Macaca mulatta: one gene and its partners. The protein of the gene in region 2 interacts with the protein of the main gene of each other region in a biochemical or structural test. Links are inferred from orthologs where the notes say so. Each region holds a gene or a part of one and is shown on either strand. Other genes may lie near its edges. The genes, in order: UBE2J2, UBA1, UBE2K, CDC34, UBE2T, UBE2B and UBE2W.

Region 1 (4,065 bases), on a different chromosome or scaffold from region 2:
TCTACTGGAAACTCCCCTAGGCCCTTCCGGGCCACCGCCTTCAGAGGCCTCCCTGATTTCCCTGCCAAATGCCTCCCACTCTGTCACACATCACTGGCCTCCATGTGACCCCACACACCACGCAGGGCCCTTTCGGGCCCCAGCAGAGGCAAGGGCGGGCTCCTCTGCCTAAGGAGTGCCTCCCCAGGAGGGCCCTCACCAGGAACGGGGTTCTAGTCCTGCCCGGGAAGGAAGTGCTCCACACAGTGGCATCCCCAGCTCCTGGCTCAAGAAGCCAATGGGCCAGGGATCTCCCCTCAGGCCAACACCTGGTGATGGACACAGCGATGACCCCAAGCAGCACTCTACACAGGCCGTCCTTTCAAACGCTCACCCTGAAGCTAACACTCTGCCATATACAAAATAATTCACTGGACAATTCAGGTACAGGTGTGTCTGGGCTTAGCTAAGTGGCCAGGCTGCGGGTTTAATGAAAGGTCATGGACAGCCACGCAAAAATAAAATAGATTCCATCAAGTCAGTCACAAGCAAGCTTCCCTCCCATACTTGCTTGGAGAGGCTTTTAAAATCATGTTCACGATTCAACTGCTGTTTCCCCAGACACCCTTCCTGAGCTTCACACAGAACAGCGTTCTCACGTCCCCCAAGGCGCCAGGGGGCGACTTCCCCCAATTCATCTCCTCCCAATATGACAGCAGGAAGGACAAGGAAAATAAAAATCCACAAAGGGGCTGGGCATGGTAGCTCACACCTGTAATCCCAGCACTTTGGGAGGCCGAGGTGGGCGGATCACCTGAGGTCGGGAGTTCGAGACCAGCCTGACCAACATGGTAAAACCCTGTCTCTACTAAAAATACAAAATTAGTCAGGTGTGCTGGCAAATGCCTATAATCCCAGCTACTCGGGTGGCTGAGACAGGAGTATCGCTTGAATCCAGGAGGTGGAGGTTGTGGTGAGCTGAGATCACGCCATTGCACTCCAGCCCGGGCAACAAGAGCGAAACTCCATCTCAAAAAAAAAAAAAAAAATTAGCCGGGTGTGGTGGTGGGCACCTGTAATCCCAGCTACTCTGGAGGCTGAGGTGGGAGAATTACTTGAACTCCGGAGCCGGACACTGCAGTGAACTGAGATCATGCCACTGCACTCTAGCCAGGGAAACAGAGACCCTGTCTCCAAAAAAAAAAAAAAAAAAATCCACAAAGGAAGCAAACTGTGAGAACAGAGTTTGAAGCATATGTGCCTCAGGTTCCCTTCAAACATCCCCACAGACAAGGGACACCAAGCACATCATCCTGCTGAGAGAAAGAGTTGGCGATTTTAAAACAAAAAGGTACAGAAAAAAAACGTTTACACGGAAACTGCATAAAAGCAGCGTGAATCACCGAGGGCAGCTGTGCCCAGGCGCTGAGACAGTGGCTGCCCAGCAGCTCTCACCCATCCCTCTTTGTCTGGACAGCTCTTTCCTGCTTAGGGATGTGGCAGGAAACCTTGGCCTGACCCATCTGCCAGGCGCGTGGCACGCCCAGGTCCAGGACTGCCACGGAAGTCTCTGCCTTCTCCACCAGACTGCTCCGAAGGCTGGATGGAAGCCCGGGCCGATGGAGGTGGGACACTCACCTGTAACGCACACATGCACCTGCCTGGCTCACCTGCCTGTCACTCACACATGTACCTGCCTAGAGCGGAGCTGCTAAGGAGGTCAGCGGTGCCAGGCCGAGCAGATGACGGACTGTGAGTTCCGGGCACCCAGACCCAACCACGCCCTAGGCTCAGGTGCTGGACTTTTGGATTAAGCGAGATACTCACTTCTTCGGAAGCCAGATTACACCGTCTGTTTCCCCTGGGGCAGGACGCGGGGCCACCGACCTGCCCCAGCCAAGCCTGCTGTACGCTCCTCGCTGCCCTCCCACCGGGCTGAGGCCCGACCTTTCAGCCGCTTCCTATCTGGGTCTGGCAAGAGGGTGGCAACCGGACTTGAGTTAAATACACACGCACTAAGTGGCAAGCATTGAAAAGGAGGCCAGGAGGTGACACCTAGCCAGGGGCTGAGAGGGTGCAGGGAATTGGCAGGTGTGGACGGCGAGGCCCGGCGCAGCTCAGGGACTTGTTCCGGGCTCGTGTCTTACTCCCGCCGGCCGGCGGTGGAGCCAGACTCCGGTCTCCCACTGTCACCGCCCGGGCTTCCCAGAAACGCTGGCCCCGAGCACCGTCCCGGGCACGCTCGTTTCTCTCGTGCCTCTCGGGGCAGTGTGGGGTCTAACAGTTCAGGGCGAGGCGGCGGCGGGCTCAACGGCAGCCCTCCCCCGACACAGACTCCCGGGATCCATTGACAAACCAGGATCGAGGCTGCCCGTCCTGGGGCAGCCGCAAGTGTCCCAACGGACGGGAGACCCGGCCTAGTGGTCAAGTCCCCGACCTGACCCTGACCCGGAGCTCCGGGAGCCCGCCGTAACCGACCTCGGGTTCCGCGCAGGCTCGGGCCAGGGCCCCGCGGGCGGCGGGCGCGAACGGAGAAGCGTCGCGCAGGGTCCCCCGCAGCCCCGGGCCGCCGCTGTGGCCGGCTCCGGCGGGGCGGTCGAGCGGGCCCGAGGACCCGGCGCAGGCCAGCGAGCGCGCTCACCTCTCCCTGTCGCTGCGCGTGGGCCGCCGCCGCGCTCAGGCTCGCCGTGGTCGAGGCCGGAGCAGGGTGCGGAAAAGCGGGGCCCGCGCCCGAAACAGCCACACCGCGCCGGGACTGGGCCCACCGAACCCGTCGCAGGGCCGCCGCCGCCTCAACCTCCAAGATGGCCGCTCGCGGGGCGGAACCAGCCTAGTTTCTGCTTCCGGTGCGCGTTCCCTGGGGGGCGGGGCGCCGCTCTAGGCAGCCTGGAGGACCGCGCCCACGACTCTCTGTCGCCGCCGGCGCCGGTCGGGGGAGGGCGGGGCGGTCGGCGCGTGCGCACTGGCGGGCGGCTGCGGGCACCGTTAGTGGGCGCGAAAGCCCCGGACCCCGAAGCCGCGCGCTTACGTCCCCACGTGCCACGGCCCAGGGCGGCAGGCCCGGCTGAGGGCGACCCCGGTGGAGAAAGGACCCCGACCCTCCCGCCTTGTCCTCCGCTCCCACACCCTGCCCGGCCCTTAGGGGAGGCGCGGCGCGGCGCGGCCCCGGCGTGGAGCGTCCCGGGCGCCTGGAGGCCTGGCTCGTTCAGGGACCCGAGAGTGACACGCGTGGGATCGCTTTGCAACCCACGTCCGCGCCCCAGCACCCTCTCCTGCGGGAGCCTTCCCAGCCCCGGGACGCCCCCGCCCCAGCACCCTCCCCCTGCAGGTGCCTGGCCCAGTGCCGGGACGCCCCGACCTCCCTCTGGACAGACTTTAGAAAGCGCGGGGCGCTGCGTCCTTTCCACCTCTCTCTGACCCCAGACACATTGGGAGGGAGCTGTAGGTGGCCGGGCGCTGGGGTGGGACGCTAAGGGCAGGCACACAACCCACCGCCTCCCCGAGAGGCAGCTAAGGACAGCGGGGAGCTGAGGGTGGTCCCCTGGTGGGGGATTGGGAGGTGGACCTCGCCACCTGGCTGCCTGTGGCCCTGTCCTTTGCCCCAACCCTGATGGCCTCTCAGAGACAACCACAGGTCAGCAAGGTGGCTGAACACTGAGGGTGGGTCCCGCTGTGGCTACGGGCAGAGGGCAGTCTGTGTCCATGCTCAGCCTGACTCTGCCCCTCCGAGACACCTTGGTGGGGGTCTGAGACGCTGCTGCAGCTCCTGGGGCAGAAGCCAGGAGGAATGTCCACACAGCCTCAGCCCGTGGGAATCCAGCCTGCCTCCATTCCTGACGTCACAGGCACCACCTTTGGAAAACAGCTCAGCATCCAGCCTCCTTCCTCTGCCTCCTCTCAGGCCTCTGCCGTTCCCAGGCAGGGCGGGCCGAGCTGGTTTTACAGCATGGAAAGTTATGTAAGGGAAGCCACACCGGCCGCAGATACAGGCACCAGCACGTCCACTCGCTTGCACGCTCACGGCTGTGGCCCGTGGCAGATGGAGGCCCGCCCTGCCTTGTTTGTCCTTCAGTAGTGTGTGATGAG
Region 2 (3,500 bases):
TAAAAACCAAAATTAGCCGGGCATGGCGGCGCATGCCTGTAATCCCAGCTACTCAGGAGGCTGAGGCAGGAGAATCGCTTGAACCCAGGAGGCAGAGGTTGCGGTGGGCCAGAGATCATGCCACTGCACTCCAGCCTGGGCAACAAGAGCAAAACTCTGTCTCAAGAAAAAAAAAAAAAAAAAGAAAAAGGAGGAAAGTGAGATGACAAAGCCCCACCTCCTACCCTACTCACCGTGACATCCCAGGGCCGGAAAAGAAACTGTCGATTCAGATTTGACTTCTCAATGGTGTCCATGTCTGTAACGATGATTTCTCCACCCTCCCTGCAGCCCAGCCCAATCATGGCAAAGTTCTTGAGCAGCTCACAGCCAATGGCCCCCGCACCCACCTAAGAGGCAACCAAGAAGACAGGCAGAGGCTGGTCAGGGTGATGCAGGTTAGTGTGAGGCTACCCATCACCCCTCACTCCCCTGAGAGATGGGGAGAGGGGCTAACACCACATCTTCAGGTTCCAGGACTCTAAGAAATGACATGCAGTCGTGTGAGGAAGGAGGAACCAGAGCGGGAAACGAGGGATGCACTGGGCTTCCCTTCAAGATAAGGAGAATGGCAAAGGGAATGCCCCACAGGTTGCGTTGAAATGCTGAAGGAAGCCCCAGGGCAGATGGTCAGAGGCCAAGATGAGGGGAGCAGGCATCCAAGGGGACCACTCACCAGGAAATACTTCTGCTTGCCCAGCTTCTCTTGCAGGTCTGAGCCAAACACAGCCACTTGCCCATCGTAACGGTTCTGGCGCTAAGGAATGCAAAGGGAGGAGGGTCAGAGAGAGGCCTCCCCAGAAATGCCCCCAATGATGCCCTCCCCACAGGTCCCACCCACATACTGGGAGGCACTTGTCCTCCGTGAGGGCCTCTTTGTCCTCAGGGAGACACTCAAGGGCATCAAAGTATAGCCACTGCATGATGGGCATGAACTTCCCGGAGCAGGCCTGGAGAGGGGAAGGGAGAGAGGGGGTGGTCAGTGGTTAACAGGGGCCTGACACAGAGAGCAAGTGATGGAGTCAGGGAGGCACCTGGCCCACCCCAATCCTGCCTCTCCCAACCCATGCTGACCTTCATGACTTCCTGGGCAGCCAGGCCCCCAATGAAGGCGTTTATGGGTGCCAGATCCCCAGCAGCCACATATGCCAACTTCCGGATGAGGTCCTCGTCCAGGTTCTCTTGCTGCACTGCTGGCAGGGCTCGAGCATTCACAGCCTGTGCTAAGGCCACCAGTTCTGTTGCATCCTCCTGGTAGGCCAGAAAGAACCAAAAGAGGATCTGTCAGGCCACAATGAGGGCAGGGAGTGTGGATAAGCAGAAGCATGGTGGGCCTTCAGTGCCAGGCATGTGTGCATTGGCTGGCTCGCCTACCCACCCACCTCATTGCGGGGCCGAGGTGGCCGGCCATGCTGAGCACAGAAGTGGTGCAGGGCCTGGAAGCCAATGTGCAGCTGGGCAGGGTGAGAAAACTTGGCGAAGTCCGTCATCACAAAGTCAGGTTCTGCCAGTGAGGCCACCAAGGATTTCTGTGGCGGGGGAAGGGGGAGGTCATCAGAACCAGAAGAGAGGAATGGAGAACTCGGGAATGCCTAGAACTACCCCACATAGCCACTGTTCCCACTGACACACTCACAAAGCTAATCTTCTTAGGTACTTTGACCTGACTGACGATGCCTCCACGGATATAGTCGGAGAAGTTGGAGGTGTCACAGATGCTAAAGGTATAAGGACCTATAGAGGGCAGGAAGAGAGCTATCAGTCTACCCATTCTCCCTAAAATCCACAACCCCTGCAAGATAAGGAACCTCCTGCCCCAACTCAGCTCAGACATCAGACGCCATCTCCCCTCTGCTCCAGGCTCCACATGGACATCAGAAAACATCTCTCCTGTGCCCCAGACCCAGCTCAGACCCTGTGAGACCCTATGTCCCTGGCTCCAAGTCTACATGGGAAGACCTTATGTGCTTCCCATCCAAATCAGCTCACACACAGTAGATCCTCTGACCTGCCCTGTTCAAACACCAGAGACCTTTTCCCCCTCAGCTCAGATACCAGGGACACATTCTCCCAGGAATAGCTCGAACACAGCACCTCTCCCTCATGCCCACCAGCTCTTATTGGACCCCACGGGATTCTGTCTGTAGTTCATCTTAAACAACAGGATGTGTCTCCCCAATCTGAACCAAGGGCCATGTCTCCTCCCTTCAACTCCCTAGCCAGAACCCAGGAACATATCTCCTAGCTTCCCTCTGCTTCCCCCATGGTCCCAACTCACCCAGGACTTTGATCTCCATGGGCTGATTTCCGTTGAGTTCAACCATGCCCTGTACTTCTGAAAAGGAGACAAAGTCCCCACTTTCAAACCCGTGTCGGGCCTCATCCAGGCAGGTAACCACACCAGGGTTGTCCTGGTTAAAGGAAGAGTGAGTCTCAGAAACAGGCCCAGGGTACCAAGAGCGGACAGGAAGGACTACCACAGCCCACCTGCCCGCCAGGAACCCTAGGGCTGGTCTCCTTACCTTGGTAACCATAGAAACCATAGCACTGAGCGGCTGCTCCCCATTGGAATCTGTGAGGATCATTTCCTTTCCAAAGTCACAGAAGAGCTGCCTGTAGAGGGAAGCAATAGGGCTGATGCCCGTGTCCCATGCACAAACAGGCCCCACAGGTCCCTCAAGATGTAGTGAAAACTTGCTGAGCAAACTCAGCCTATCACTGCTGGGATGTAAGATGGTACTTGTGCCACATGAGGAGAGATGAACACAAAGAACCCAAAATCTGGGTAGCTGAGGAGGGACGAGGGCAGGGAGAGCCTAGAGGTCTTGGCCTGGGCCTGGTAGGAGTTGGAGGAAAAGGGGACAGGGAGCGGGGTGGGCCGCCACTCACCCAAACAGGCCCCTTGTGTCTGCCACCACCAGCTTGATGCCACGGCTGTGACAGAACTCACCCACTCGCAGCTGGTCCTCCAGGGGGGTGTTGGTGAGCACCACCACCTGTGGAGAGATGGAGGCTCAGGCCCAGCATTGGGGTGAAGAGGAGAAAATGGTGGAGGGCTGATGTCAAGGACTCAGGCAGTCCTCAAGGCAGACACATCCAGGCTTTGCTGGGTCAGCCTCTTTCACAAACACACAGCACCTACTGTGCATCAGACTCTGTGGGGGTCAAAAATGAACTCCTAGACTATACCAGGAAAGGTGAAGAGGTAGCTGGGAGGACGGAGTTTGGAGAAGAGCTGACTCATTTATTTGACAAACACCCGCTGCTGTCTGCTTGCCATGCCCTGTGAGACACTGGAGTAAAACTCTGTCTCCAGCCAAAGTCTGAGCTCACTCCTACCACACCCACCTGCTTCCAATTCCCAAGACAATGCCTGCTCCGCATGATCTTTGGGATTTTGCTCTCTGCCTGAATGTCCATCCTTCCCCACCAGGGTGAGCTCCTATTCCTCCATCCGGATT
Region 3 (4,200 bases), on a different chromosome or scaffold from region 2:
AAATCACATTCGTATGACACAAAATTAAAAAAATATCTATACCCCATGCCCCAGAGACCCAATTTTTCTACACAGAAAGCAATCAATTTTACCAATTTCTTGTGAAACCTTTTGCCTATAAAGACAAATACACATATTCCCCTCTTTTTAACACAAATGGTGGCTTCTTCCACACTATTCTGCATCTTGCTTTTCACATTTATCTTGTTGGCTGTATTTTAATTAACACACTCTAAGAATGGTCACTTATAATCTCTCATAACCAGAATCCAGTAAGCGTCAGCTATCTTTACAAAGGCACTTACAAGGCCACCCCAAAAAGTCCTTAAATCAACCAGTGTTCTTAGTAAACGCAAGCATACAAGCACATGAAATAAATTTTGGTAAAGTGCAGATTTACCAAAAAAGTGACATGATGAAATATTTATTTGATCAGCCATTCAAAAGACTGGATTTACACCCTTAAAAAGGAAACACACGGACTATACTACAAGTCTTCAATGAGTTGAAAATAATCCACTTATAGAACTGGGGCTACTAAAATATCAAAAAATACTGGCGAAAATAAGCTATTTATTGGTTATATTTATTGCAAGATTAAATGATGTGACTCTTTCCTAAATGTTCTTTGCAACTGATTTTCCCAAAAGAAGTTTCCTTCCATATTTATACAGGTACTGTTCTAAACAACACAAAACAAACAAAAAACCTGTCTGCATTTCCTGTTTTCTTCTTCTGAAACACTTTTGATGCTTATCTGAAGTAAGGCTTCCTCATCCCTTATGTATAAAGAGCAGTGTTTTTTTGTTTGTTTGTTTGTTTGTTTTAACAATATGCATTACTAGAGAGCAATACAAGTATTTCTGGTAATCTTCAACTTAAGTACTACGAATCTCACAGTGAAAAGTGAGCTCATAAAAAGCAAAGAGACCATATTAATTACCAAAGCAGTAACTTACCACTTGTAACAGAAAATAAAGCACTAAAAGTCTATTAAGTTTCAGGCTTGTACAACCTTATTAAACAAGAAATGTTTTAGGTTGTTGGCAACAATATTAGCTGCTATCTTTCATTAGGAGTATGTATGTCAGCTAACCTGGAATACATTTTCATATTAAATAAGTTAAAATTGCTGTTTCACTGTATCAGTACAGACACTTATTGACTCTATTTCTGCGCTGTACCACAAAATACAAAGTCATCCTTCCATTCAGAGTTTTGGCATATGAACACAGAGGTCAGAGTTCATACACATGCTCTGTAAAACCGATCATGACTTACATACTACTACTTTCAATAAGTCTGTTGTCATTTTTGAATTTTAAATAATTTTTCTCCATGTATACTCATCACATATTTAGAATGCTGAATTTCACAAATCATTATTGACACTATCAAAGTACTAACCGTAAAAGAAAAACAAAAATAGCAATGATATATTCAATAATGGTATGTGAATCTTGAAAATAATCATTTTCTGTATTACTTTTTGTTTAATTCATGTGGGGAAGACAATCTGGCATTCTTGTTCATCTTGGTACGACACACTGTACTAATACTTGCATAATTTTGAGTCAAATTACTAGAGCATTGTGAATATCTTACATAAACGTAGTACTAATGTATATAAATTCTGCAGAACTTAAGAGCAATGGCAGGCAATTTTTTTGAAAATCTGTTAAGTCGTGATAAATCTACTCAATAAGGAGATGAAATAATGTATTAATCTGGTGAAATCTCACATTTTTAATAGGTCTACTTTTCAAAAGTAAGAATCAAGTTACCTATGAGGGACATCATAATGAAGTTTCGTGGCACAACACGAGTCACAGAGGCACTGTCTTAGGACAGTCTGATCGGTAACTTGTAAACAATATTTTGAAATAAACTACTCATACAACCCATTATTTTTTTCCTAACTAAAAATATTTACATGTCTTTAATACACCAAACACCTCGCCTTTGCCCACTCAAAAAAGATTGTGATGTCAATAAAAATGAGGCCTACGAATTTGGGGGTTAAGTGGAAGACATAATTATCTCGTTTGGAATAACTTGCTAACTCAGGTGAAAATTCCCTTACCCCCGCCACCAAATAAGACAGTATTCTATTATGTCTCCCTTTGACTCCTAACACCCAACTAAGAAGGACTAACTCTGAATGTCCTTCCTTTCTAATCAATACCTTTGGACTCACCGCTCCTCCCCTACGAAAAGAACAGTGAAGGCCTGACAAGCAATAACCCCAAATACCCTCAAAAGTGTGGGCCTTTGAGCAGCACTGCTCTTCGTATCCAGTTACCACCTTTCCCCTTCCCCCAACCCACTTCCCGGGTTTTCTCAGGCTCGGCCTGCTCCCTCCCCACCCCACAGCCACATTTCCAGCTGTGGCCACCGCCTCGGGTTCTCTCGTGAGCTTCCATCCCTCCGAGGAGCTCCCCCCTGTCCATCAGCTCCCCAAACCGTGTTCCACCCCAGACCACCCGCCCGCGAGACCGTTCATCCTAGCGCTCTGGGAGGGGAGGGGAAGGCGGCGGAAGGAGGAGGGGAACACTGCTGCTTCCTCACAGGCAGAAGGGCGGCCGCAAGGAGGGCCACCCAGGGACTACCGAGGATATCGGGGTCGCAGCTGGGAGGACCCTCCCGCTCCAGGCAGAGATGGGGGATATCCGGGAGTTCATTTCTGACCTCCTCGCTCTTCAGCACCTCCTTGAACTCCCGCTTGATTCGCTGCACCGCGATGTTGGCCATGTCTCCGCCCGCAGCTGATTCGTACCCGCCTCCTCCGCCACCGCTACGACCACCGCCACCGCCGCCACCTCTTCCTCCACCGCCTCCTCCCCCGGCGATTCAGACCCGAGCACACGAACACTGCCACTACCACCCCGGCCGCCGCGCTCGCCTCAGTGTGGAATCACCTCCGCGCCCGGCCACCAAAATGGCGCCGGGTCGGCGCATGCGCACGACGCTGACCCGGCCGGGCGGCGCAGCCGCTCCCGTTGTAGCCCCCATACGCCCGAGCCACGAGCTCGCGTCTCGGCTGGGGCTGCGGCCGCGTGGCTCCGCCCTGCCGGCGTCTGGGGCCGCTAGGGCGCGGCTTCCAAGGTGGCCGGCCGTAGCCTGCCCGCCCGGTCCTACCCGGCGCCTCCGCTCCTGTTTAAACCCAGGTGCTGTGGTCGGGGCTTCCAGCGCTGGCCTCTGACCGAAGGTTCGCGCGCAGCCGAACGGGTTCCCGAAGCCGCACTCGGCTGGAACGCCGCCCTGACTCAGCTAGACCCGGAACCCGGAGGCTGAACGCCGTGTCTAGCGCAGGAAAACGCTCTCGCGGATCTCGGTCCGGCCCATTTTCAGTTGGTGTAGCCCCAGAAAATCCACTGCAGTCGTTTTTGTTCTGCAACATTTATAGTACCACGATTATTCCCATCATCTCAGGTAGCACAGATTATCGAATTAAGGCTGGTTATTGTTGGATCAGATTGGGTTTGAGACAGGTACTCGGTGGAGAGGCCTGAGGGTGGGTTTACAAGTCAGATGTTGATCTTTGACCTATTTAATACCGAGCTTGACACACACACACTCTCTGTCACACACACACACCACACACACACACACTCCTGTGCCCATCCCTAGAGTGTGGAGCGGGCCTAAGACTGCGTTTCTAACAAGTCTCCCAGTTGCTGCTGCTGTTGGTGCTGGTTCGGGGACCACACTATGAGAACCACTGAACTGAAGCGTGTGAAAATTCATATATATTAAATTGAAAACTGGAGAAATAGAAATTATAGTGCCCTTCAGGGGACTGGGATGGGGGAGGGGGAGCCTTATTTCTGTAAACCTAGGCCTACAAAGGTGCTTGGTGATAGTAGGCACTCTATAAATATTGAATGTGTAAATGAGTACAGATAAGAGTAAAACGCTTTTGCTGGCGCGGCGGATCACTTGCAGTCAGGAGTCCGAGACCAGCCTGGCCAACATAGTGAAACCCCGTCTCTACTAAAAATACAAAAATCAGACAGGTGTGGTGGCAGGCGCCTGTAATCCCGGCTATTCTGGAGGCTGAGGCAGGAAAATCGCTTGAACCTGGGGGGCGCAGGTTGCAGTGAGCGAGATCGCGCTACTGCACTACATACAGCCTGGGCCACAGAGCAAGTTTATGTCTCAAACAATACAAAACAAAAAGTATAAAATATTTTAAGTAGA
Region 4 (3,500 bases), on a different chromosome or scaffold from region 2:
CCGGGGCCCGGCAGGTGTCAGTGTTTGCTGAGTGAGCAGTCGTCTGTGCAAACCCTCCCCACACCGTGCCTGCCAAGGCCCTGGAGGGGCAGCCTGGTCTTGGGCCTCAGCTCCATCCGAGGGGAACCTGGAGCCCCTGCCAGTCCGTTCCGTCGGCTGGTGGGTGCCCCTGGCCCGGGTCCCGTGTGCCTGACCTGGGCTGCCACAGGCCTGGAGCCACTCGGGCAGCCAGTGCCTGCGTCCTCCAGCGGCTGGGCTGGGCCAGGCCGCGGCCACCTGGGCTGCGTAGGAGCTGGGATCAGCTCAGGTGACTCGGAAAAGGCTTGAGGCAGCCTGCTGGGGACTTGGCCCCAGGCCCATGAGAGTCCCTGCCTTGGCTGGGATAGGGTGTCCCTCACACACCCTCAGGCACACGCCCGAGCCTTACCCCCAGCACACCAGCACCGGGAGTGGAATGGCCTCGGGTCCCTCACACACACCCTCAGGCACACGCCCGAGCCTTACCCCCAGCACACCAGCACCGGGAGTGGAATGGCCTCGGGTCCCTCACACACACCCTCAGGCACATGCCCGAGCCTTACCCCCAGCACACCAGCACCGGGAGTGGAATGGCCTCGGGCACCCTGTGAGCCGGGGCAGGGCCTGGGGCTGAGCCGGGCTGAGCCACACGCCTTCTGCCCCTGCAGGCGCGCCTCAAGTTCCCCATCGACTACCCGTACTCTCCACCGGCCTTTCGGTTCCTCACCAAGATGTGGCACCCTAACATCTACGAGGTGAGCGCGGCCCCCACGGGCCTCACGTACTCATTGTCCGGGACCCGTGGCTCTGGGAGCCAGTGCTGACCTCTGACCTGTCCTGACCTGTCCTCTCCTTGTGCAGACGGGGGACGTGTGCATCTCCATCCTCCATCCCCCGGTGGACGACCCCCAGAGCGGGGAGCTGCCCTCAGAGAGGTGGAACCCCACCCAGAACGTCAGGTAGGCCCCACCCCCGTGTCCACCCAGAACGTCAGGTAGGCCGGCCCCATGTCCACCCAAAACGTCAGGTAGGCCCCACCCCTGTGTCCACCCAGAACGTCAGGTAGGCCGGCCCCACACTCCATGTCCACCCAGAACGTCAGGTAGGCCCCACCCCCGTGTCCACCCAGAACGTCAGGTAGGCCGGCCCCACACTCCGTGTCCACCCAGAATGTCAGGTAGGCCGGCCCCACGCCCCATGTCCACCCAGAACGTCAGGTAGGCCGGCCCCACGCTCCGTGTCCACCCAGAACGTCAGGTAGGCCGGCCCCACGCCCCATGTCCACCCAGAACGTCAGGTAGGCCGGCCCCACGCTCCGTGTCCACCCAGAACGTCAGGTAGGCCCCACACTCCGTGTCCACTCAGAACGTCAGGTAGGCCCCACCCCCGTGTCCACCCAGAACGTCAGGTAGGCCGGCCCCACCCCCGTGTCCACCCAGAACGTCAGGTAGGCCGGCCCCACGCCCCGTGTCCACCCAGAACGTCAGGTAGGCCGGCCCCACGCCCCGTGTCCACCCAGAACGTCAGGTAGGCCGGCCCCACGCTCCGCGTCCACCCAGAACGTCAGGTAGGCCCCACCCCCGTGTCCACCCAGAACGTCAGGTAGGCCGGCCCCACGCTCCGTGTCCACCCAGAACGTCAGGTAGGCCCCACGCTCCGTGTCCACCCAGAACGTCAGGTAGGCCGGCCCCATGCTCCGTGTCCACCCAGAACGTCAGGTAGGCCGGCCCCACCCCCGTGTCCACCCAGAACGTCAGGTAGGCCGGCCCCATGTCCACCCAAAACGTCAGGTAGGCCCCACGCCCCATGTCCACCCAGAACGTCAGGTAGGCCGGCCCCACGCCCCATGTCCACCCAGAACGTCAGGTAGGCCCCACCCCCGTGTCCACCCAGAACGTCAGGTAGGCCGGCCCCACGCCCCATGTCCACCCAGAACGTCAGCTAGGCCGGCCCCACGCCCCATGTCCACCCAGAACGTCAGGTAGGCCGGCCCCACGCCCCGTGTCCACCCAGAACGTCAGCTAGGCCGGCCCCACGCCCCGTGTCCACCCAGAACGTCAGCTAGGCCGGCCCCACGCCCCGTGTCCACCCAGAACGTCAGGTAGGCCGGCCCCACGCCCCGTGTCCACCCAGAACGTCAGCTAGGCCGGCCCCACGCCCCGTGTCCACCCAGAACGTCAGGTAGGCCGGCCCCACGCCCCGTGTCCACCCAGAACGTCAGGTAGGCCGGCCCCACGCCCCGTGTCCACCCAGAACGTCAGGTAGGCCGGCCCCACGCCCCGTGTCCACCCAGAACGTCAGGTAGGCCGGCCCCACGCCCCGTGTCCACCCAGAACGTCAGGTAGGCCGGCCCCACGCCCCGTGTCCACCCAGAACATGAGGTAGGCCGGCCCCACGCTCCGTGTCCACCCAGAACATGAGGTAGGCTGGGCTCCCCCGCGGGCCATGGCGCCGAGGCCTAGTTTGGGACCTGCCAGCCGGCGATCCTGGGCCTCCCTGTACCCGCACGGTGGCTGCTTTCATGGGACCTGCCGCACTGTGGTGTCTGTGCGGACTCCCACAAGACTCCAGGCCAGCCCCACTCTCTGGAGTGACTGAGACGTGTCCCGCCCACCTCGGTGCTGGGTCTTCTCCTTCCCCAGCTGTCTCTGGGTTGGTCACCACGTGCGACCTGTGCCACCCGGGCGTCGTCCCAGGTACAGGCCCTGGCCCGTGTTGCCCGTGTGTTCTGGAATGCAGCCCAGGCAGGACGTGTGGGCGTGAGAGCAGCCCCGGGTCCGACAGGGGTCTGCACCTTTCTGCCCTCCCTGGTCTTGGCGTGGGAGGGAGGAGGCTGATGCAGGTCCAGCCCCTGCTGTTCTGGGGGCCTGAGACACAAACAGGCCATGAGGCCAGATGAAAATCACCTGTTGGGTGGGTCCAGGTTTCCCCGTGACCCTCAAGGCCGGAGAAGAGCCGGAAGGCTGGGGTGCCCCGGGCCAGCCCGCTCCAACCCACTCTCCCCGCAGGACCATCCTCCTGAGTGTGATCTCCCTCCTCAACGAGCCCAATACCTTCTCGCCCGCCAATGTGGATGCCTCCGTGATGTACAGAAAGTGGAAAGAGAGCAAGGGGAAGGACCGGGAGTACACGGACATCATCCGGTGAGCGCGGGGGAGGTGCACGGGGCGGGGGAGACTCGGATCCGGCCTGCACCCCGGCCCTGATCCCTCGGCCGCCCAGCCCCACCGTCCTGGTGAGGGTGGCGGAGCTTCCTGGTGCCCGTTTACAGGGTACCAGTCACAGATGGAGGCCGGGCCTAGTGGCGGAGGGTCCAGCCAGGTTCAAGCCCAGCCTCTTGCCCCTTTTCCTCTTTTTTTTTTTTTTTTGAGACAGAGTTTTACTCGGTTGCCCAGGCTGGAGTGCAGTGGCGCAGTCTCGGCTCACTGCAGCCTCCACTTCCCGGGTTCAAGCAATTCTCCTGCTTCGTTCTCCGGAGTAGC
Region 5 (4,288 bases), on a different chromosome or scaffold from region 2:
TAACATAATTTTATTTTATGTGCCTATAGTCCCAGATACTCAGGAGGTAGGAGGAGAATTGCTTGAGCTCAGGAGTTCGAGCCTGCAGTGAGTTATGTTGGTACCAATTGTCTCCAAAAAAGAAAGAAATTTTAGTTCCTATCTCTTGGGAAAGTAAGGATTTAACCTGGAGTGGGTCAATTTTAGCTTATTTAAACAACTGGAACTAGATATTTTTTGCCTCCTAATTCTGAATACAAAAAGAATGCAGCCAAAAGAATCATCATTATTGATCCCTGAAAAATGTACTCCAGTTCAAAAATCCTTATTAGAAGACCAGTATGCCAGTAAAACATAAAGTTATATATATATAGGAGCAGCTATCATATACCAGGAACATGATACTGAAATGATGCATGAGGACTGTGAATAGGATTAGGCTTCTAGCTGAGTATTCCTACCTATTTGATTTAATACCAATTTTTCTTTTATCCTTTACTGAGAGTTCTATTTGGGTGCTTAAGGGCAATACAAATTATCAGCAAGAGGCTGAATTGGAATAAGAGGAGGTCCCACTGTGATATGTTACAAAGTAAATCTCATGAATAATTTTTTTTTTTTTTTTTTTTTTTGAGACAGTCTTGCTCTGTCACCCAGGCTGGAGTACAGTGGTGTAATCTTGGCTCACTGCAACCTCCGTCTCCCAGGTTCAAGCGATTTTCCTGCCTCAGCCTCCTGAGTAGTTGGGATTACAGGCACCTGCCACTATACCCAGCTACTTTTTGTATTTTTAGTAGAGATGGGGTTAGCCAAGCTGGTCTCGAACTCCTGACCTTAAGTGATCTGCCCGCCTTGGCCTTCCAAAGTGCTGGGATTACAAGCGTGAGCCATCACGTCTGGCCAAAAATTTTTAATTGCAATAAATGATGAGACATGACAAGTTCTATCATGGCCATAAATAAATGTATGTAGCAAGGAAAATGAGGTTACATAATGTATACATTATTATACCTTGATTTTCCTTATGTACATTGTTATTCATAGTTCACAGATTTGACATAAGGTTTAATTAGTATTTATAATGTATTTAAGAATACCCTACTAAAGCATATGGTGGGTAGACACAGTATTATTAAACATAATAATTTTTACATTTATATGTCACTTTTCATTTAAGGTTTTCAATTCAATAACTAATTGTTTCCTTAATGTATGATTTCCACTTCATTTCAGGGGGAATTTAGGAACAGGCAAATTTTCACATGACAGAATATAATAAAGTTTCCCTTTACAATACCCTGATCATTTTGCAACATTTTTAAATGAAAAATTTTAAACATACAGAAATGTTTAAAGAATCTAATATTTGCATATGTACTCCTTCATTATGGGTAACACATTTAATTATATTTTGTTCAGGGCTAGAGCACTGGAGGTTATAATTATTAAATCAATCGGACTGGCCGGATGTGGTGGCTCATGCCTGTAATACTAACACTTTGGGAGACTGAGGTGGGTGGATCACTTGAGCCCAGGAGCTCAAGACTAGCCTGGGCAACATGGCAAAACCCTGTCTCTACAAAAAATACAAAAGTTAGCCAGGCATAGTGACGCAGGCCTGTAGTCCCAGCTACTTGCGGAGCTGAGGTGGGAGGATTGCTTGAGCCTGGGAGGTTGAGGCTACACTGATCCATGACCATGCCATAGGTGACAGAGTGAGACCCTGTCTCAAACAAAACAAAACAAAACAATCAGACAGATATACGTTTTTTAACCTAGTCTTGGGGAACATAAGAATGTCCTATTTGCTACCTTAGGAATTTAGTATGATTTAGTATGCTTGATAGTATCTTTCTCTAGCTTTGAAAAAAAAAATCATGGGCCAGGTACAGTGGCTCAGGGCTGTAATCCCAACACTTTGGGAAGCTGAGGCAGGAGATCGCTTGTGTCTAGGAGTTCCAGACAAGCCTGGGCAACATGGTGAGACCTTGTCTCTATAAAAAAATTAAAAAAATAGCGGGTGTGGTGGTGGGCACCTGTAGTCCTAGCTACTTGGGAGGCTGAGGTGGGAGAATCACTTGAGCCCAGGAGGTTGAGTCTGCAGTGAGCCGTGATCGTGCCACTGCACTCAGCCTGGGTGACAGAGTGAGACTCTGTGTCAAAAGAAAAGAAATAAAAATCACGGAAGACATCTATTCTGTCTTGTAAAAATTTAAGATATATGAAAAGAGTAGAGGAGGAGGAGGAGGGAGAAGGAAGAGAAATTATTTATTGGGATGCAATATGTGCCAAAGATAGTATTAGGCATCCTTGCATGTATTATTTTATCTGATCCACACGACTACCCTGTGAGATATTATTCCCATTTTTCACATAAGAAAACTGGCTCAGAGAAGTCAAGTAATTTGTCTACGGCTGTGAATTCAATTTAAATTCACAGCTTAAACTCTTCTCACTACATCTGAATGCATCATTTTCAAGATCTTTTCTGGGCCTGGAGTAAGTTGACAGTATTTATGTAAAACATGTAATACTGCTCCTCCTCCCCACGCACATTCACATTTACTGTGATTAATACACATGTTAATAAAACCCTAGACTTAGAACTAGGATATAGAATCCAGTCGTTTAGGTACTTAATGTTTAGTTCTCCCCTCCAGAAAATAGGAATAATTACCGCGTCTCTTCCACTCCAAAGAATTGATGTGATAATTAGGGAGCTAAGATTAGTTACCAGTCATAACAAGAATAAACTACGACTCCCAAAATGCCCAGAGGAAGAGGTTGACGCCAGTCCAGGAGACAGTTCCAGCTTTAGGGCAAAGGTGACCTCACTGGGTCCCGTGGCGAAAGAGCCGTCTGTCCTCGACTTTTTTCTGATGCATCCAGGGATTTGTAGTTCCCTTACGGCCACCAAGTGCACTTAGGGCAGGCCTCTTACTACGAGTCCCGTGATGATCCGAGGCCGGGCAGCGGCTGCGTATTGAAGCCGAGGGAACGTGCGGGCGGTGCTAGTGGCGAGAGGAGTAAAGATGGCGGCGCGAGGGTCTCCGCCCTCTGCTCCCGGCTGAAGCGCTCTGAGGGAGGCGGCAGCGGCAACCCGAGCCCCAACAGTAATTTAGTGTTGGTAGTTTTGGCAGCAGCTGCCGAGGCCGGAGCAATGGCGGAGCTGGAGCACCTAGGAGGGAAGCGGGCAGAGTCGGCGCGAATGCGGCGGGCAGAGCAGCTTCGGCGCTGGCGGGGCTCGCTGACAGAGCAGGAGCCCGCGGAGCGACGAGGCGCGGGGCGGCAGCCGCTGACCAGGCGCGGGAGCCCCAGGGTCCGCTTCGAGGACGGTGCTGTCTTCCTGGCCGCCTGCTCTAGCGGGGACACCGACGAGGTGAGAAAGCTTCTGGCAAGAGGTGCTGATATCAACACAGTCAACGTGGACGGCTTGACAGCCCTGCACCAGGTAACTCCTTCACGGTCTTAGAGGCGTCCAGTCTCCTACAGATGTGTCTTTGACCCTGCGAGCCGCCCCATGGGGAGTATCAGTGTTGCCGCCGAGTCCTTCTGCATGGACACTGCCTTTTTGGGCTAATCGGTTTCATTCTTGGCCAGCTTCCTCCACTAATCAAGTCTTTTTCTGACCCCAGGATCTCTCTACCTGAAGGAATAGTGTCACCCCGCTGCTTGGTCAGTGTTTGTGTTTCCCTCCACCTACTTGTGTTGTCATGGTTACTGGTGATTTTTGTCCCTGGTCGTATCCCTATAGATTAGTTATCTTCACTTATGTCTGGTTGGCGTGCCTGCATGCCGTGTCACAGTGTCATTTGTCTGATGCCCTTTCAGAAAATTCAGTTGTTGTGTGTCTCCATTATAGAATATCTTAGATCACTTAAAGAGTAGAGCCCTATACTGGGTAAAGACAAGCAGGTCTGAAACCACACCTCTTGTTTTGTTGATTTGTAGTACTTAAAAACAGTTTGTGTCGCCTCTAGGCTATAGCTCCTAGAACACCCCGGACCTCGTTGTTATAGGTATCTTAACTTTCTTCTCAGCAATGCTACCTCCCCGAGAGCTTCCTGTGGAGAACTAAGTTACTGAATTACTTCTGTCTGTTTGATACTTATGGAATACCTTTTCTATTTTTCTATTTTTTTTTTTTTCTAAAGCGCTCTATAGAAATCCCATGCCCTATACGTAGCTATACTATATGGATTGTGGATAATCTGTGCTTGGTAACGACACCTTATAGTTCATCACCTAATGCAGCAATATTCTCTATCTACTGACTGCCATGACTAACTACACCCTCTCGCCTCAAATC
Region 6 (2,550 bases), on a different chromosome or scaffold from region 2:
ACCAATTTTAGTGTTGTCTTTGCAGTGTATGCTGATGGTAGCATATGTTTAGATATCCTTCAGAATCGATGGAGTCCAACATACGATGTATCTTCTATCTTAACATCAATTCAGGTAAGTATGTGTTAAGATGTATTATAGTTTGTCAGTATTCTGTAGGATACAGTCAGCTCCTTTAGGAGCACTGTAACCTGCTTAGCACACAGGTAACCAATGGCAGAGCTTGGGCAAGAATCCATGCTTTTCAGCTAACTTCTCTTTCAGTAATGCCTACATGGGATCCAGTCTGCAGTCCCTTTCCTGATTGTGTAAGTTACATGTTCTTACAGGTCAAACCTAATTTGTGTCCATGAAGCATAGCCAACGGTTGTGGAAAAGAAAAAAATGGCTTGGAAAAACCATAGGAACCTAAAGAAACTGCCAAGCGCAGATAAGCATTGAATGTGTTACCCCATCCAAGAAATTCTGTTTTAAAAAAAAGGAAAATTGGCCGGGCGCGGTGGCTCAAGCCTGTAATCCCAGCACGTTGGGAGGCCGAGACGGGCGGATCACGAGGTCAGGAGATCGAGACCATCCTGGCTGACACGGTGAAACCCCATCTCTACTAAAAAATACAAAAAACTAGCCGGGCGAGGTGGCGGGCGCCTGTAGTCCCAGCTACTCAGGAGGCTGAGGCAGGAGAATGGCGTGAACCCGGGAGGCAGAGCTTGCAGTGAGCCAAGATCTGGCCACTGCACTCCAGCCTGGGCGGCAGAGCGAGACTCCGTCTCAAAAAAATAAATAAATAAATAAATAAATAAATAAATAAATAAATAAATAAATAAAATAAAATAAAGGAAAATTAATGTAACCATTTGCCGAAGCAGTCTGGCAGAATATTTCAGAATAGATCTTTGAATGAAAATTTAGGAGGGGTGGAGTGAGGGGTGTTTTGGTTTTGTGGATTTGAGAGGAGCAGAAATAATATGTTGGTTTGTGATGTTCTTTTTAAAGTTTTTTCTGTCACACTTCTTTAATTCTGGCCTTTTTTTTTTTTTTTTTTTTTTTTTGAGACAGAGTCTTGCTGTGTTGCCCAGGCTGGAGTGCAATGGCTCAATCTTGGCTCACTGCAACCTCTGCCTCCCAGGTTCAAGTGATTCTCCTGCCTCAGCCTCCTGAGTAGCTGGGACTACAGGCATATGCCACCACGCCCAACTAAGTTTTTTGTATTTTTAGTAGAGATGGCGTTTCACAGTGTTAGCCAGGATGGTCTCTATCCAACCTCATGATCCGCCCACGTCGGCCTCCCAAAGTGTTGGGATTACAGGCATGAGCTACTGTGCCAGGCCAATTCTGGTCATCTTACAAGCATTGTTTTTCAACCTTCCTATCTCATTCTCTTCCTGCTAAATATATATGTTTTGTTGATTAAAGGAGATAAGACTTATCCCCCAACTTTTACTGTCAGACATTTGCAAAGTAACTGCAGTAGTAGAGTTTAACCTTGGAAAATGTTGGATACTGACAGATTTATTGATACTATAGCTTAACCAAATTAAGCTGTTCATTTCCTTGGTTTAATGAGAAAATCTCAATATGCTTAAGAATATTCTTTTCTGATTTCTTTGAAATTATAGGTGTTTTTTTCTTTTTTTCTTTTTTTGAGACGGAATTTCACCCTTGTTGCCCAGGCTGGAGTGCAATGGCGCAGTCTCGGCTCACCGCTATCTCTGTCTCCCAGGTTCAAGCAATTCTCCTGCCTCAGCCTCCTGAGTAGCTGGGATTACAGGCATACACCACCACACCTGGCTAATTTTGTATTTTTAGAAATTATGGGGTTTTCTTCATGTTGGCCAGGCTGGTCTCGAACTCCCTACCTCAGGTGATCTGCCCGCCTCGGCCTCCTATAGTGCTGGGATTACAGGCATGAGCCACCACACCTGACCTCTTTTTCGTTTTAAATAGAAACAGAGTTTCCCTATGTTGCCCAGGCTGATCTTGAACTGCTGGGCTCAAGGGATCCTCCTGCCTCGGCCTCCCAAAGTGTTAGGATAACAGGCGCAAGCCACTGTACCCAGCCGAAACTGTAGGTCTTAAGGCAATTGAGAACATTATTTCAGAAGCTTAAGTTCCTTAGCAGCAGGAAACCTCATAGTATTTATCAAATCATTTCTAAAATATTTAGACCCAAAATTATATGACATGTTAATCTCTGAAGTAATTTGTTGTTTTGTATAACTTCTCTGTAATATATTCCATATCTGACCCGTTAGTATAAAGAATAACTAAGCAAATCTGTTTTTTCTTTTCTTTCCTCCTAGTCTCTGCTGGATGAACCGAATCCTAACAGTCCAGCCAATAGCCAGGCAGCACAGCTTTATCAGGAAAACAAACGAGAATATGAGAAAAGAGTTTCGGCCATTGTTGAACAAAGCTGGAATGATTCATAATAGACAACTGGTCTGTTAATCTTTTTCATCATTGTTGTGTATAATTTACCTCTCAGTAGAAAGGCTAACAAATTTTAAGTGCCACAGGTTTTAAGGATTCTGCAGAAAAAAAAGAAAAAAG
Region 7 (3,500 bases), on a different chromosome or scaffold from region 2:
AGTCAGTATCCATTTAAATCTATGCTTTAAAACAATTACCTCTTTACTTATAGCATGATACAGTAACTGACTTCTATCTCTTCTCTTACATAACTAACAAAAGATTAAGCTGTGTTTGGTATATTGTTTAAAGTGGCAATGAAATAAGATTTTCCCCCAAATAGTACACTTCAGCACCTACAAGCTAAATTTTCAGTATCTGGGAAATATTTCAGGTATATGGTTCTATTTTACAGAATAGCTCATTTGCTAGCAATACTAGAAAGAGTTGGCATTACGTCTTATCACTTTAGCCAACGGATATTACAAGCCTCAAATTTTAAAAATGAAGTGCTTTGTTACAATAATTCTCTGAAGAATAAGTAATTATAGTAACTCATTTACTTATATTACCAAGCCAGAAACCTGGAAGTCATCCTACAGTCTTCCTTTCTCTAATCTCTGATTAATCATTTACCATAGTTAAACAGCTCTCAAAAAACATTCCTCTACCACCATTATCCCTTGTCTAAGTATTAAGTTATTAACTAAACTGACTGGGCATCAAATTATAATAAACAGACTTTGGGCCAATGTTTAGATATTTAACATCTGGTGATGTACTCTGCCATTCCAGTACTAAAAGGCTGCAAAGACAGCACGTCAATGCAAAATCAAAGTACTCCTTCCAACAGAGAACTTTTCTCTTCACCATGTGATTCTATCATCTGACCTAGGAGAGGCGCCTCCAGTTATTCCAAAATGCCAACTTCTCGAATGGCCTAGAGCAGTGGTCCCCAATCTTTTTGGCACAAGGGACCGGTTTGGTGGAAGACAATTTTTCCACGGATGGGGCTGGGGGTTGGATGATGGTTTTGGGATGAAAGTGTTCCATCTCAGATCATCAGGCATTAGATTCTCATAAGGAGCGTACTATCTAGATCCCTCGCATGTGCAGTTCACAATAAGGCTTGTACTCCTATGCGAATCTGATGTCACTACTGATCTGACAGGAGGCGGAGCTCAGGCAGTAATGGTGCTCACCTCCTGTGTGGCCTGACTCCTAACAGGCCAGGGACCAGTACCAGTCCACAGCATAGGGGTTGGGGACCCCTGGCCTAGAGGCCTGGTTAGATTTCTATTCCCTTTTCTGCTAGTATTTATGGATAAGAAACAAACAATTTTAGATGCAAAATGCAGTAAAGCCCTAATCCCAATATTAAGTGTAATGTTCATATCTTGATTATATTACGAACAAGGAAATAACAAATCCATCTACATACGTATAAATGATTTATATGTTTTTACTGAGTCAAACATCTCTGGCATTTAGCTATCTAAAAATACAAAAAAAAAAAATTTAAAGCAAGGCAATTACCTGAGGAGAGTCAAAAGGATATCGACTACTAAATTTAAATAGAAGTTGAAATTTTTCCCCTTCATATAAGGTACCTGGTGCACCTTCCATGTCTACAATCCACCTAGAATAGAAAAGGCAAATTAAAAACTTAAGATACTGGGGTAAGGAGGAGAAAAGAGGACACCAAGTACTTCCTGTACACTAAGCACTGGGACAAGAGTTGTTTATGTGTAACAGCACATGCCAGCCTCCCAATAACTCTCTCACTGTTAATTCTCATGACCTTCTCTGACATTCAGGGGTGAAACCACCAGATCAAGGTCAGACAGCTAGCAAAAGATAGGTCTAAAAAAGCCAACAAAACAAAAACCCAAGGCCAGGCGCGGTGGCTCACGCCTGTAATCCCAGAACTTTGGGAGGCTGAGGCAGGTGGATCACGAGGTCAGAGGTTTGAGACCAGCCTGACCAACATGGTGAAACTGGTCTCTACTAAAAATACAAAAATTAGCTGGGCGTGGTGGCGTGCACCTGTAATCCCAGCTACTCAGGAGACTGAGGCAGGAGAATCACTTGAACCCGGGAGGCAGAGGTTGCAGTGAGTCAAGATCATGCCACTGCACTCCAGCCTGGGCTACAGAGCAAGACTGTCTCAAAATAAACAAACAAATCTCAAACTAAGGTGTGCTGACACCCAAGCCTGTACTCTTCCTAATTGATTTACATTACCTTATTTTTTCAAAGTACCATTTCTACAATGCTGATATTAAGTATTCTATACATAACATCAAACTAATCAACTGTCTTTCTGATTATTACTGGTGGAAGCCATGGAGAAACCCGTATAGACAATGACTACAGAGAACCGTAGCTGTCAGATTTATTTTTCTCATCAACATTCTAGAAAAGATTAACAGGGTAAGGGGAGCTAAATTGACATCATTCCACTTACTTTGACGATTAAGCAAGGCTTTGTACTGCCTTTTCTTTATCTCTCACTATGTTTCAATTGTTTAATAAAGCCCATTTCTATGGCATCTATGCAAGCCTACTTTGTTTTAATATGTAACAATCATAAACATAAATGTGTTATTTATAGTGTATACACTATTTCTTGTTATTTTCTTTAAGATGGGGGAAAGAATAAGGGATAATGACAGCAAAGATAACAGGGCAGCATTAGAAGCAAAAGTGAATTGAAGTCATTAACAATGTGTTCCTAATTATAGCTCTGTCACTTATAATTATTGTACACCTAGGCAATTCTCTTGAACTTTTCAGGTATTAAACTTTCTTGTACTTAAAATACAAGAAAACAAAAGAAAGAAAGGAAACACAGTGTTGGGATTCTAGTCATTACCACGCATACGATGAACTTAGGATTATGTAAACTAATAAATGTACCTATTCTCTAAAAGAAATCAGCTACAGTATACAGACTCTTAAGAGCATGGCTATTCATTTTAAGAATGCATGCTGAGTACCATACATGGTAATAAAAGATACGACCACAGACCCAAGAGACAACATTTTATAGTGAAATTAAACAGTTATAACTGAAATTATACTGAAGTGGCAGTTACAGTTAATCTTAACTCGTTGTGTGAGCAAGTTATGTTCTCTCTCCAGTTTTAACTACCTCAATAATAAAACAGAAGATAATCACCTTATAGTGTTGTTGGAGATAAACGACCCTACATAAGTAAAAAACCTAGCACATTCCTGACTCAGAGTCAATACATGGTAAATTAAATGCAATGCAAAAGCTGCATATAAAACAAAAAACTATCTCTTTATATATTAGGTCCTTCTTAATCTTTGAAATTCCTTTCTTGATTTTCCACCCACATCTACTAGGCAGAGTAATATTCCCAGGAAAAATGGTGGTCTTTCGTTCTGTTTATATGGCAATTTGAGGACACACAACATAAATTTACATGTGACCTATGCAAACAAGCACAACTTTTAAAAATAAAGAGCTAACCAAGTATCTCATCAATCCTCGTAATATCTGCATGACATGCAGATACTACATGAGGTCAAAGACAATATAACTGTCAACATTGTGCATGGTACTTTCTTTTTTTTTTCTTGGTACAGAGTTTTGCTCTTGTTGCCCAGGCTGGAGTGCAATCGCGCAATCTCGGCTCACCGCAACCTCCAC

What was found.
Region 1: of the proteins of UBA1 (region 2) and UBE2J2, one has a biochemical effect on the other in vitro, tested with the Homo sapiens proteins (2 studies listed by BioGRID). The link is inferred for Macaca mulatta from reciprocal best matches to the Homo sapiens genes UBA1 and UBE2J2.
Region 3: of the proteins of UBA1 (region 2) and UBE2K, one has a biochemical effect on the other in vitro, tested with the Homo sapiens proteins (9 studies listed by BioGRID, with this or other methods). The link is inferred for Macaca mulatta from reciprocal best matches to the Homo sapiens genes UBA1 and UBE2K.
Region 4: of the proteins of UBA1 (region 2) and CDC34, one has a biochemical effect on the other in vitro, tested with the Homo sapiens proteins (7 studies listed by BioGRID, with this or other methods). The link is inferred for Macaca mulatta from reciprocal best matches to the Homo sapiens genes UBA1 and CDC34.
Region 5: of the proteins of UBA1 (region 2) and UBE2T, one has a biochemical effect on the other in vitro, tested with the Homo sapiens proteins (4 studies listed by BioGRID, with this or other methods). The link is inferred for Macaca mulatta from reciprocal best matches to the Homo sapiens genes UBA1 and UBE2T.
Region 6: of the proteins of UBA1 (region 2) and UBE2B, one has a biochemical effect on the other in vitro, tested with the Homo sapiens proteins (10 studies listed by BioGRID, with this or other methods). The link is inferred for Macaca mulatta from reciprocal best matches to the Homo sapiens genes UBA1 and UBE2B.
Region 7: of the proteins of UBA1 (region 2) and UBE2W, one has a biochemical effect on the other in vitro, tested with the Homo sapiens proteins (5 studies listed by BioGRID, with this or other methods). The link is inferred for Macaca mulatta from reciprocal best matches to the Homo sapiens genes UBA1 and UBE2W.

The regions. Positions count from the first base shown.
Region 1 is NC_133406.1:239,412,423-239,416,487, reverse strand, and holds the start of UBE2J2 (ubiquitin-conjugating enzyme E2 J2), read right to left. Parts: upstream 2,801-4,065; 5' UTR 2,621-2,800; intron 1,951-2,620; exon of another isoform or gene 1,807-1,950; intron 1-1,806. UniProt on the Homo sapiens protein: Catalyzes the covalent attachment of ubiquitin to other proteins. Seems to function in the selective degradation of misfolded membrane proteins from the endoplasmic reticulum (ERAD).
Region 2 is NC_133426.1:47,232,065-47,235,564, reverse strand, and holds part of UBA1 (ubiquitin-like modifier-activating enzyme 1), read right to left. Parts: intron 3,036-3,500; coding exon 2,929-3,035; coding exon of another isoform or gene 2,841-2,928; intron 2,674-2,840; coding exon of another isoform or gene 2,653-2,673; coding exon 2,562-2,652; intron 2,451-2,561; coding exon 2,318-2,450; intron 1,774-2,317; coding exon 1,676-1,773; intron 1,569-1,675; coding exon 1,422-1,568; intron 1,291-1,421; coding exon 1,114-1,290; intron 990-1,113; coding exon 885-989; intron 797-884; coding exon 716-796; intron 390-715; coding exon 234-389; intron 1-233. UniProt on the Homo sapiens protein: Catalyzes the first step in ubiquitin conjugation to mark cellular proteins for degradation through the ubiquitin-proteasome system.
Region 3 is NC_133410.1:38,909,935-38,914,134, reverse strand, and holds the start of UBE2K (ubiquitin-conjugating enzyme E2 K), read right to left. Parts: upstream 2,801-4,200; 5' UTR 2,752-2,800; coding exon 2,689-2,751; intron 1-2,688. UniProt on the Homo sapiens protein: Accepts ubiquitin from the E1 complex and catalyzes its covalent attachment to other proteins. In vitro, in the presence or in the absence of BRCA1-BARD1 E3 ubiquitin-protein ligase complex, catalyzes the synthesis of 'Lys-48'-linked polyubiquitin chains.
Region 4 is NC_133424.1:1,173,841-1,177,340, forward strand, and holds part of CDC34 (ubiquitin-conjugating enzyme E2 R1), read left to right. Parts: intron 1-686; coding exon 687-773; intron 774-879; coding exon 880-977; intron 978-3,026; coding exon 3,027-3,161; intron 3,162-3,500. UniProt on the Homo sapiens protein: E2 ubiquitin-conjugating enzyme that accepts ubiquitin from an E1 ubiquitin-activating protein, and catalyzes its covalent attachment to other proteins by an E3 ubiquitin-protein ligase complex. In vitro catalyzes 'Lys-48'-linked polyubiquitination.
Region 5 is NC_133406.1:60,008,557-60,012,844, forward strand, and holds the start of UBE2T (ubiquitin-conjugating enzyme E2 T), read right to left. Parts: upstream 2,801-4,288; 5' UTR 2,657-2,800; intron 1-2,656. Other genes in the region: PPP1R12B (protein phosphatase 1 regulatory subunit 12B), read left to right, coding at 3,140-3,430. UniProt on the Homo sapiens protein: Accepts ubiquitin from the E1 complex and catalyzes its covalent attachment to other proteins. Catalyzes monoubiquitination. Involved in mitomycin-C (MMC)-induced DNA repair.
Region 6 is NC_133411.1:143,308,527-143,311,076, forward strand, and holds part of UBE2B (ubiquitin-conjugating enzyme E2 B), read left to right. Parts: intron 1-25; coding exon 26-114; intron 115-2,300; coding exon 2,301-2,429; 3' UTR 2,430-2,550. UniProt on the Homo sapiens protein: E2 ubiquitin-conjugating enzyme that accepts ubiquitin from the ubiquitin-activating enzyme E1 and transfers it to a E3 ubiquitin-protein ligase. In vitro catalyzes 'Lys-11'-, as well as 'Lys-48'- and 'Lys-63'-linked polyubiquitination.
Region 7 is NC_133413.1:84,408,204-84,411,703, forward strand, and holds part of UBE2W (ubiquitin-conjugating enzyme E2 W), read right to left. Parts: intron 1,461-3,500; coding exon 1,358-1,460; intron 1-1,357. UniProt on the Homo sapiens protein: Accepts ubiquitin from the E1 complex and catalyzes its covalent attachment to other proteins.